2 linked regions of the Oreochromis niloticus genome follow. Each later gene encodes a partner of the first gene's protein in a complex. Links are inferred from orthologs where the notes say so. Each region holds a gene or a part of one and is shown in the gene's direction. Other genes may lie near its edges.

What was found. Proteins that work in one complex are often made in the same cells at the same time.
Region 2: nhp2 (region 1) and dkc1 share a complex: the UniProt entries of both Homo sapiens proteins name them as parts of the H/ACA small nucleolar ribonucleoprotein (H/ACA snoRNP) complex. The link is inferred for Oreochromis niloticus from reciprocal best matches to the Homo sapiens genes NHP2 and DKC1.

Annotation. Positions count from the first base shown.
Region 1 is NC_031975.2:32,975,176-32,980,370, reverse strand, and holds nhp2 (H/ACA ribonucleoprotein complex subunit 2-like protein), read left to right. Parts: upstream 1-1,302; 5' UTR 1,303-1,444; coding exon 1,445-1,607; intron 1,608-2,227; coding exon 2,228-2,297; intron 2,298-2,395; coding exon 2,396-2,501; intron 2,502-4,160; coding exon 4,161-4,286; 3' UTR 4,287-4,554; downstream 4,555-5,195. Other genes in the region: cornifelin homolog B, read left to right, coding at 1-103, 215-337. UniProt on the Homo sapiens protein: Required for ribosome biogenesis and telomere maintenance. Part of the H/ACA small nucleolar ribonucleoprotein (H/ACA snoRNP) complex, which catalyzes pseudouridylation of rRNA.
Region 2 is NC_031983.2:30,854,727-30,859,921, reverse strand, and holds the start of dkc1 (H/ACA ribonucleoprotein complex subunit DKC1), read left to right. Parts: upstream 1-1,846; 5' UTR 1,847-1,861; coding exon 1,862-1,946; intron 1,947-2,030; coding exon 2,031-2,086; intron 2,087-2,165; coding exon 2,166-2,252; intron 2,253-2,626; coding exon 2,627-2,718; intron 2,719-2,793; coding exon 2,794-2,978; intron 2,979-3,241; coding exon 3,242-3,306; intron 3,307-3,483; coding exon 3,484-3,610; intron 3,611-3,692; coding exon 3,693-3,823; intron 3,824-4,032; coding exon 4,033-4,176; intron 4,177-4,364; coding exon 4,365-4,485; intron 4,486-4,528; exon of another isoform or gene 4,529-4,605; intron 4,606-4,670; coding exon 4,671-4,789; intron 4,790-4,858; coding exon 4,859-4,962; intron 4,963-5,195.

The DNA of each region.
Region 1 (5,195 bases):
GTTCGGTCAGTGTCTCTGTCTCCCCCTGCTGGACGTGTTCGGCTGCGTCCATCCCATCACGATGTCCATCAGGGTGTCGTTGCGTCAGCGCTACGGCATCAAAGTACGACCACGAGGTGGCGCTGAGACGCTCGTTTGGTTTGAGTTAGCAGCCGCTAAGCTAACGTTAGCCAGTGTGGCTCACTTTGTTTGTTCGTTCGTTTGTTTGTTTCAGGGGAATCTCTGTACCGACTGTTTGTGCTCCACCTTCTGTCTGCCCTGCGTTTGGTGTCAAATGGCCACCGAGATGAAGAAGCAGAAGCTCCCCACCATGTTCAGTGACATCATCAGCCAGTGATGATGTCATCAGCATGAAGTCATTGCCCCAGACCGGCCCGTCACAGCCCAGCTCCGCACCAGCAGAAATCAATAATCAATGATCATCAGTGTTTACTGCATTTATCACTTATTTGTTTTTAACAAATCTGTTGTTTTGTTCTGTTGTTCATCTGTTTACTCGATTTAAATGGTTGTTAGCTTAAATTCATTAAAATTAAATTCATGCTTGTGACTGAGCTTAAAGATGAATCGAGACTGTGGAGAGAAGCTCAGCTCAGATCTGATATTTAATCAATGCACAAATATTCAGTTCGTGTGAGCTTTGGAAGGTGATTTCAGGATTCAGAATTTACATGAAATCATTTAAATGATTTTACACAATTCAAGTTTGGCTTCTAGCCAAATTCATTACTGACAAAATAAAAACCTTTAACTTTAAAAAATGGAAATTGTATTTAACCTTTTTTTTAATTTCTTCCAGATCAAATGTAATTAAATAAATACTCTGAATAATGTGTCTGTGTATGTGGAATCAAAAGCATTCATTACTTTTCATTTAGCAGTTTTTCATTTTATTGTCGTGTCACTTTGCAATAAAACCTGATCATTAAGTTTATAAGGAAATATTAATAACGAACTCTCTTCAGATCATTCTGATGAGCAATAATTAATTTTAGTGCGCGTTTGTTTGTTAGCTTCATGTAATGAAAGAAAACTGTCGAGTGTCCACACAGTGAAGCTGGTTTTTAGGTTTTAGGGGGAAATTATTTCCTTCTTGCCGAATCCAAAACTTTCCACTTAAACTTTCACTTTTTTAAATGTTATTATTTATCTCTTTATAAACATAGATATAGATATATATTTACGCTGAATATTTCTGAAGTGTCAGTAAAATTCTGACTAAACCTAAAAAATGAAGTTTGGTATTTTATTTTGAAGGGAGGTGCTGCCGCTGCCCTCCGGGCCGCTGGTGGCGCTGTTGTGGTTCAGCGTTTTCACAAACAGCAGAGAAAGAGGCTTGAAACACGTGTGGGGTCTTTTCTGTGAGCGTGTTGTGATCAGCAGGCAGGAGTCCGAGCAGAAAACAATCAAACGGGTATCGATTACCAGTGATTATCGATCAAAAATGACGAAGGTGAAGAAGGAGAAAGTTTCGGAGGAGGGAGAAGAAGCCGGTACCGGGGGCACCGAGAGGTCGTACCAGGAGCTGATCGCTCACCTGAACCCGATCGCTCAGCCGCTGGCCTCCAAAAAGCTCAGCAAGAAGCTCTACAAATGCGTGAAAAAAGGTGAGAAGAAGAAGAATCCCGCTAACGGCCGGGAAATGTTGGAGATTACTGTTCTGTGGCGCCGAACTCTGTTTAAAAATTCACGAATTTAACGATTTCTTTCTGCTCTGCAGTTGTTAGAGTCGATGCAGGACTTTAAATAAGAAAGTGTTCGAGTCGTTTGAAGCCTCTGGTTAATTCGGCCGTAAACACGTCGCTTATAGATGCACAGTTTGTAATCTATTGGTAATTTTCTGTGGAAAATCAGCGGCTGTTTGTACAGCTTCATCCTCAGTGAAAGGTTCAGTCAGACCCGCTTCCGGTTTCACTGGGCGTTTTAAAAGGCAGCTGCATGTGCTTTTATTTTGATGCTTAGCAGAAGTGTTTTTAGTATGTGAGGAAATCTCCTTCACAGTTTGGTTTGGGAGGGAACTTTTGTTGTCGGGAATCATGTGAACGATGTGTTCACACTGCAGATGTTAAAGCTTTAAACATCCAGATGTGCTCCTCCTGACTTTAAATGCAGTTTGCAGCTGGTCTGGGCTTGAAGAAGGCGCAGAGCCTTCATGTTGCACTTGAGCTTAAAACTGCAGGTTTTTGACTGGAGTCTGGTTTAATGTGTCTCTGCTTCTATCATCCAGCCGCCAAAGTGAAGAACATCCGACGAGGAGTCAAAGAAGTTCAGAAGTTCATCAACAAAGGAGAGAAAGGGTGAGTCGCTGCTGCTGCACCTTTCAGCACGTCCTCGGGTGTGTCCAGGTGTTCGTGACGATCACAGGTGTATTTATGTGTTTCTGATGTGTCTGCAGCATCGTGGTGCTGGCGGGCGACACGCTGCCCATCGACGTCTACTGCCACCTGCCCGTCATGTGTGAGGACAGAAGCCTGCCGTACGCCTACATCCCGTCTAAAGTGGTGAGTGACAGTGGACAGGTGTGCTGAAGGTCTGTCACCTGATGGGGGCGGGCTCTGAACGCGTTGCTCTGTGAAAGTTGGATGGGCGTGGCTGAAACTCAGTCTGTGCTTGCAGAGCGCCGCTCACACAGCATGTGTGTGCACTGCTCGCTGCACTCTCCTCAGCGCAGCAGGAAAACGTTACTGCGCGCACAAACAGTCGACACCAGTGTGTCTCAGAGCGCTGTGTGTGCCACGCCCTCTGTAACAGCAGCTTAGCAAAAGTTGATTCTGTTCATCTGGATGTTTTCAGTGGGAGAAAGGTTTCATCATCATCAGGTGACTTCTTCAGTCTCAGCTGACTGCAGGTTTCCCCAATCTTATAAACAGTACATTTGCATAATGACTGAAACCAGCCCACTGAAGGAACAATGTGCTGGGAGGTCAGTTCCTTCATCATAATTATGCAAATTCTCATGACCACTGATCAGCGGCCATGAGCACCACTGAAAACGCTACGTCCAGAATCAACTTTTGCAGATTTACTTACCTGGATGATTGAGCGTGCATCGAGACGTTTTCAGTAGAAAAGCTTTCTTGCATGCAGATCAAACCACCAACCTTCTGATTAGTCGATGACCTGCTGAGCTTCAGCCAATCAACTAACGAACGTCTGATCATGTGAGACGTGAGCACGCGTCAGCTTCAGACTCTTATTTTCAAATCTTTTGTGATTTCCTGACTTTTAGTGTTGGGATAATTTCTCTTATTTTGAAAAGTCTGTGTGCTTCCAATTCAGTTTTATTTATACAGCAACAAATCACAACAACAGGCTTTTCAGGGAGTTTTTAGGACATCCTGATAATAATGAATTACAGTAGTCCAGCCTGGAAGTAATAAATGCATGAACTAGTTTTTCAGCATCACTCTGAGACAGGATATTTCTAATTTTAGAGATGTTGCGCAAATGGAAGAAAGCAGTCTTACATATTTGTTTAATATGTGCGTTGAAGGACATGTCGATGGGCGATCGTGGCTCAAGAGTTGGGAGTTCGCCTTGTAATCGGAAGGTTGCCGGTTCGAGCCCCGGCTGGGACAGTCTCGGTCGTTGTGTCCTTGGGCAAGACACTTCACCTGTTGTCTGCTGGTGGTGGTCAGAGGGCCCGGTGGCGCCAGTGTCCGGCAGCCTCGCCTCTGTCAGTGCGCCCCAGGGTGGCTGTGGCTACAATGTAGCTGCCATCACCAGTGTGTGAATGGGTGGATGACTGGATGTGTAAAGCGCTTTGGGGTCCTTAGGGACTAGTAAAAGCACTATACAAATACAGGCCATTTACCATTTTACCATTTACCATGTCCTGGTCAAAAATGACTCCAAGGTTCCTCACAGTGTTACTGGAGGCCAAGGTAATGCCATCCAGAGTAAGAATCTGCTTAGATACCATATTTCTAAGATTTTCAGGGCCGAGTACAATAACCTCAGTTTGATCTGAATTAAGAAGCAGAAAGTTAGCGGCCATCCAGGTCTTTATGTCTTTAAGACATTCCTGCAGTTTAACTAATTGGTGTGTGTTACCTGGCTTCATGGATAGATAGAGCTGCGAGTCATCTGCATAGCAGTGAAAGTTCTGACTTTAAAATCTTTTTTTATTTCCTGACTCTTATTGTGAAACTCTGTTCCAGGACCTGGGTTCCTCTGCGGGCTCGAAGAGGCCGACCTGCGTCATCCTCATCAAACCTCATGAAGATTACCAGGAAGCGTATGACGAGTGCTTGGAGGAAGTTTCCAGCCTGCCCAAACCCCTCTGAAGCCCCCACCCCTTCATAAGCCCCACCCCCAAAGGAACAGTTCTTCCTCCAGCTGTGCTAACAGTTTCCATCCACTGCCAGTGTTTGTGCTAAGCTAGGCTAATCCAGCAGGAGGATTTAAATCCAGACCAAACAGACTTCAGATAAAGAACGATGTTGATGTTTGAGTGAAAAATGTTTAGTATAATCGATGTATTGATCTGTGATCAGGTAAAGGCAGATGTTTCACAGATGTTTTTGTTTTTTCTTATTAAAGTCGTTAACGCTGTGACGCGTCTGAACTCGTTCCTGCAGCCGCACAAACATCTTCACTTTTACACTTGATGGATCACGTCGTCTCCTCTCCTTCATAAAGGATGCTTCAGTGTCTCCTCAGCTAAAGGAGGCAATGAAGGAAGCACTGAAGCTTCCTCAGAATGAGACTTAACAGCTGTTTGAAACGTTACCTGTGAAACACGAACGTGAGCTTTAATGAAACAGGTTCAGTTATTATATTTAGACGAGGACGTGCTGAAATGAACAAAAGGATCTAAAAATTATTTATTACAACATTTTTATTTTTTACATTTCATAAAATCTGAACTTAAAATTACATTGTTCTAGGGCTGCTCAATTGATCGAATTTTAATCGTGATTACGATCTGGGCTTTCAACGATCATTAAAAATGACTGAGCCGATTATTAGCTCCTCCTCTCGCGCTGCTCCGTGTGGCAAATCGAGCGCACCTCTCTGCGTTTCGAACACGCGTCACAACAATTAAGAGGACCCGAGGGAAGCTCGGAAAGCTAAGCAGAAGTTATTTGGAGAGGAGAGGATAACGGCTGCTGAAGAAAGAATGCCGCTGGTTGAAAAGAGGTAAAACGACTTCAGTGGTGTGGAAACATTTTGGGTTCACGGACTCAGACGTG
Region 2 (5,195 bases), on another chromosome or scaffold:
AATTACACAGTACATTCACGTTTATTATTATATTTACAAAATACCACAGTTTTTGTCTTGGTCGGATCATTTTATGTGGTTGTATTTATCCGCGATACCTTAAAGGCCGCTCCGTGTCTGACATAAACCGGTCTGTGGCTCAAAAAGGTCGGGGACCGCTGCTGTACAGCATGAGGGTTAATAGGACCGTACTCATATGAATATGATGCGTAAATTGATTTATTCTTGTACATCCACGCCGTAGCGGCCCAATTCTTCACCCCAGTGAAGAGGTGATCGTTTTCTCCTCGTTTTAATAAATTAAGCCGTTTGGTCTTTGTTCCCCACAACATATCACCAATTCGAAAACATCAAAATTAGCTGTATGTAAGCGGCAATACATGAAAAATCGCGGGACCCCCGATACAAGCTGGTTTACGGTTATTTTAAAGAAAAGAAACATGTCTATGCAGATGCCCAAAGCTTAACAAAACGACCGCTATAACAATTTAACTTTTGTACAACCAGATTTTCATATACTTACATTTGAAAGTGTTTTCCTCTCCTGCTTCGACCACCATCGTTATCAGAAACAAATCTCCTCTATGACCCGCAATGACTCCTGGGATATAGTAGGACATGAAGGATACATCGGACCATCCTTAGAATTCAGGGCAAAGTAGGACGCATTTGTCGCCACATTTTGAGAACTCTTTGAATTCGGACAGCCTTCGTCGCGTCGCCGCGACGTCATTGCCTCCAAATATGGCATTGGCGCATCCTTCCCCTGAATTCGGACACGACTAACCCTCAAATTCGCGGAAAAGTAGGACACATTTGTCGCCACATTTTGAGTGCTCTTTGAATTCGGACAGTCCTCGTCACGTCGCTGTGGCGTCATTGCCTCCAAATATGGCATTTTAAGCATCCTTCCCCTGAATTCGGACACAGCCAAAGACACGTTTGATGATCTCCACAACACTAGGTGGCGGTAAACCCCTCCGCCTCTGCAAACACCAAAGAAGAAGACGGAGCAGGGGGAGAAGAGGAGGAAGGGGTCGCTGTGCGCGCTCAGTCGACGGAAGATGGCGGACACAGGAGGTGAGCACGAGGCTCGTTTCTTCCAAACTTTCAGTTTTTAGTTTTAATCAGAATCAAATTCATGTTAGAGACCGGACAGAACCAGAACCTCCGCGCCTGCGCACACCCGCTCGCTACGCGCAGCCTCTTCGATTCCGCAGAACTGCCTTTAAAAAACGGAAAACACGTTTTCCAGAAAAAAAACAAAAAAACAAAACGCTTTTTGATCGTAAATGCTCCGAGTCTGTTTTTTGGGTTTAAGGTTCGGAGGATCTGGGGAACGGTTCGAGCTTAGGTACACGTGCCAGTGTGTACAAGCGGCGTGTGTGCAGCACGTCTGCAAGCGCAAACTGAGTTTACCTGTTCAGGTGGATCATGTGTTGAAAGGTTCTGATCAGTGAGCTGAATCGGATAGATCCGCGGATTTTGATCGATCTGCAGGTTTGGTGGAGCTGCTGGGAGGTCTCGGTGCTGACTGAGCTCGTGAGTTTGAATCAGTTTCAGTCGGTCTCAGCTGTGATCGATCACTGATTGCTTATTACGATCGGGTCCAGTTCACTGCATCGATCTGCGGCCGCGTTAAACATCCTGATTATTAATCGCCTGATAAGTTGAGCAATTAAAGGCCTGTTAGCTCGGTGTATTAGCCACCTCATGCTAACAACCACGTGTCGCAGGGAGGCACGTGGCCTCCAGGTTAAATCGGCTCATTCTTCTCTCCCCTCGTGCGCAGCTGCACAACCACGTGGGTTGTGCAGCTGCGCACGAGGGGAGAGAAGAATGAGCCGATTTAACCTGAGAAATGATTACAGTTCATGTCGTCACCATTTTAGCACCAGATGACTTTTTTTCCCCCCCACCTTTTGTGTTAGATCATCTTAAAGCAGGTCAAAGACATAAGGAAGTCTGCCTACAGACTGAGCATGCTCATTTGTCACCCTGATATCAAGTTTTTTTGTTTTTTTTTCCAGCAACGTCAGTGAAGAAGAAGAAGAAAGTGAAGAAAGTCGGTGAAGAAGACCTTGGGGTGAGTCAGAAGGTCAGAGGTCGCTGTTTCAGTGCCTGGCACCCTGAAGTGTGTGAACGAACTTCTTCTTGTTGTTCAGGAAATCCAGCAGAGCGGGGACTTCTTCATCCGCCCAGAGTCCAAAGTTGCCTCATTGGACACGTCGCAATGGCCGCTGCTGCTAAAGGTAGGTCACCTGAGTCTACTTGTAATTGTCACGATACTACTTCCTGTCAAGTCGCGGTCGTGTGATGTGATGAACCTGTTTATCCATTCGCTGAGTGCTGCCTTTGAGTCGCAGTCGGTGCTTCTGCTCCCGTTCTGGTGGCGGAGCCTCTCGGTCAGGGTCCTGGCAGTGTCCCGGCGTTCTGCCGGACAACAGCCGGAACCTCGCCAAGAGAACGGCGCAACTCAACCGCTGCCAAGACGACTTCCTGTTCTGATCATATGACACTGCAACCCATATCCAAGAGTGCTGCTTCCCATTGTTGCTCTTCAAACAGGAAGTGATGTTTTGACGCCAACAAAGTTGCTTTTTTTTGTGTGTGTTTTTATCTGCAGAACTTTGATAAGCTGAATATCCGGACGGCGCACTACACGCCGTTACCAAGCGGCAGCAACCCACTGAAGAGGAACATCCACGACTATGTCAGGTACCGTCCCGCCAGCACACCTCACCGATACGCCATCCCAGTGCCCCTCTGATTCTACTTGCTGTTTCCTGTCAGGTCAGGCTTCATTAATCTTGACAAACCAGCCAACCCATCATCCCACGAGGTCGTGGCGTGGATCCGGCGGATCCTTCGGGTCGAGAAGACTGGTCACAGCGGCACGCTCGACCCAAAGGTCACAGGCTGCCTGATTGTCTGCATCGACCGAGCCACGCGATTGGTCAAGTCCCAACAAAGCGCAGGTAATGATTACCACTTCCTGTTCCTGTCGACTGTCGGAGGTGATCAGCTGAGCATTGTGATGCCACACATGTTGATCTGACAGCTGATTGGTTCACGTGTGGCAGGTCACACCTTTGCAGCGATCAATTGGTGTGACCAGTTTATGATCAGCTGACAGGAAGTGGTTAACCTCTGATGTTGTCCAGCCCGCTGTCTTTGCCCCTCGCCACGGCGTGGGCCCAGTAAACTGCCGCCGCCTCACTGCTCTCTGTGTTTGTTGCAGGTAAAGAGTACGTGGGAATAGTTCGGCTGCACAACGCCATCGAGAGCGAGCACGTTCTGGCCCGGGTAAGACTTCCTGCCGCCAAGCGCTCGCTCATCGATCTGCTCGAGTATTGATTAGCGTGCTTATCGATCATTTGAAATCTCCTGTTTGATTAAAAACATCCTAATACAGTTTTCCTGAAGCTCTTATTGGCTGGCTGCCAGTCATGTGACCTCCACTGACTGGGATTGTATCTGCAGGGGCTGGAGACGTTGACGGGTGCTCTGTTCCAGCGGCCGCCGCTGATCGCCGCCGTCAAACGTCAGCTGAGAGTTCGAACGATTTACGAGAGCAAACTCATCGAGTATGACCCCGAGAGGAGGCTTGGTGAGCGATACGATCATTCGACGTTTAATTGCTTCACCTGTGTGGGAGCGTAGTGATGTCACAAGTTATGTCTTTCCCGCAGGTATATTCTGGGTGAGCTGTGAGGCGGGGACATACATTCGGACGCTGTGCGTCCACCTGGGCCTGATGCTCGGCGTTGGAGGCCAGATGCAGGAGCTGAGGAGGGTCCGGTCAGGGGTCATGGGAGAGAAGGTGAGCGTCACTTATTGTGTGATGTCACTGTGGTTTCAAAGTGTTGAGTCCAGGCCCGCTGCTCGGTGTGGGTCTGTCAATTGAACTTTGAAACAGAGACGGCGATGGAGAGGTGGCGGACATGGCGTGTCCGAACCCCGAACCCAAGTATCGCCGACATGACATCGTTGCACTTAATGATGACATCGCTCACCAGATCTCTGTTTCAGGACAATCTGGTGACGATGCACGACGTGCTGGATGCTCAGTGGCAGTTTGACCACAACAAAGACGAGTCGTACCTGCGGCGAGTCATCTTCCCGCTGGAGAAGCTGCTCGTGTCACACAAACGCCTCGTGATGAAGGACAGCGCCGTGAGTCTTCCTTGCCGTCCTCCCAGTTTAGAAAAAAAAAAAAGCTGTGAATGTTAAAGTGGAGGTCACCTGTTTGGTAGAAGTCCAGGCAGACTCTCGCCGTATTTCACCTATCAGCAAGGTTAAAAGTCGTTGCCAAGCTGCTGAATTTTACCTGCACAGGTGACACTGAAAACATCTGTCTGCAGGTGAACGCCATCTGTTATGGAGCTAAGATCATGCTGCCAGGTGTGCTCAGGTATGAAGACGGCATCGAGGTGAACCAGGATATCGTTGTCATAACAACAAAGGGCGAGGCCATCTGCACAGGTGAGTTAGGTGGTGTGATGCCGTCACGTCCTGCTCAGGGTAAGCCACGTGATGAGTTGAGTAGCTGCAGCAGCTTTCGGGCCGTGATGACTTGCTATCTATCACCCATAACTGATGGCTTCGCCTCTGCTCGATTGAGGTTATCCATCAGCGATGGGATCATTGACCAGTTTGTTTTTGTGCAGCGGTGGCGCTGATGACCACAGCGGTGATCTCCACATGTGACCATGGCGTGGTGGCAAAGATCAAGAGGGTGATCATGGAGAGGGACACGTATCCCCGGAAATGGGGCCTGGGACCAAAGGTGCGCCTGACAATGATCAGCTGTGAGCCATTAACCTGATCGAGTGTTTAACGAGTTTTTGTTAATCAGGCGAGTCAGAAAAAGATGATGATTCAGAAGGGACTGCTCGACAAACACGGCAAGCCCAACGGCAGCACGCCGGCCGACTGGAAGGACCAGTACGTCGACTACAGGTACGTGGAGGGGCGGGGTTAAAGTGGAGGACAGGTGCATGTTTCTTATTCAGATGCAGTAACAACACCTGGAGATGATTCTGTAGTGTGAGGTAAAGTCAGGCAGGTGAAGCAGACAGTTATCCCTCGCTGAGCTGGCGTGCTCTCTGAGGGAGTCGGTCTGCGACAGCAATGCTCAGGTCTGAGCTTCTTCACTCAGCTTCCCGCTGATCTGCAGCTCGCCTGAGAACAGT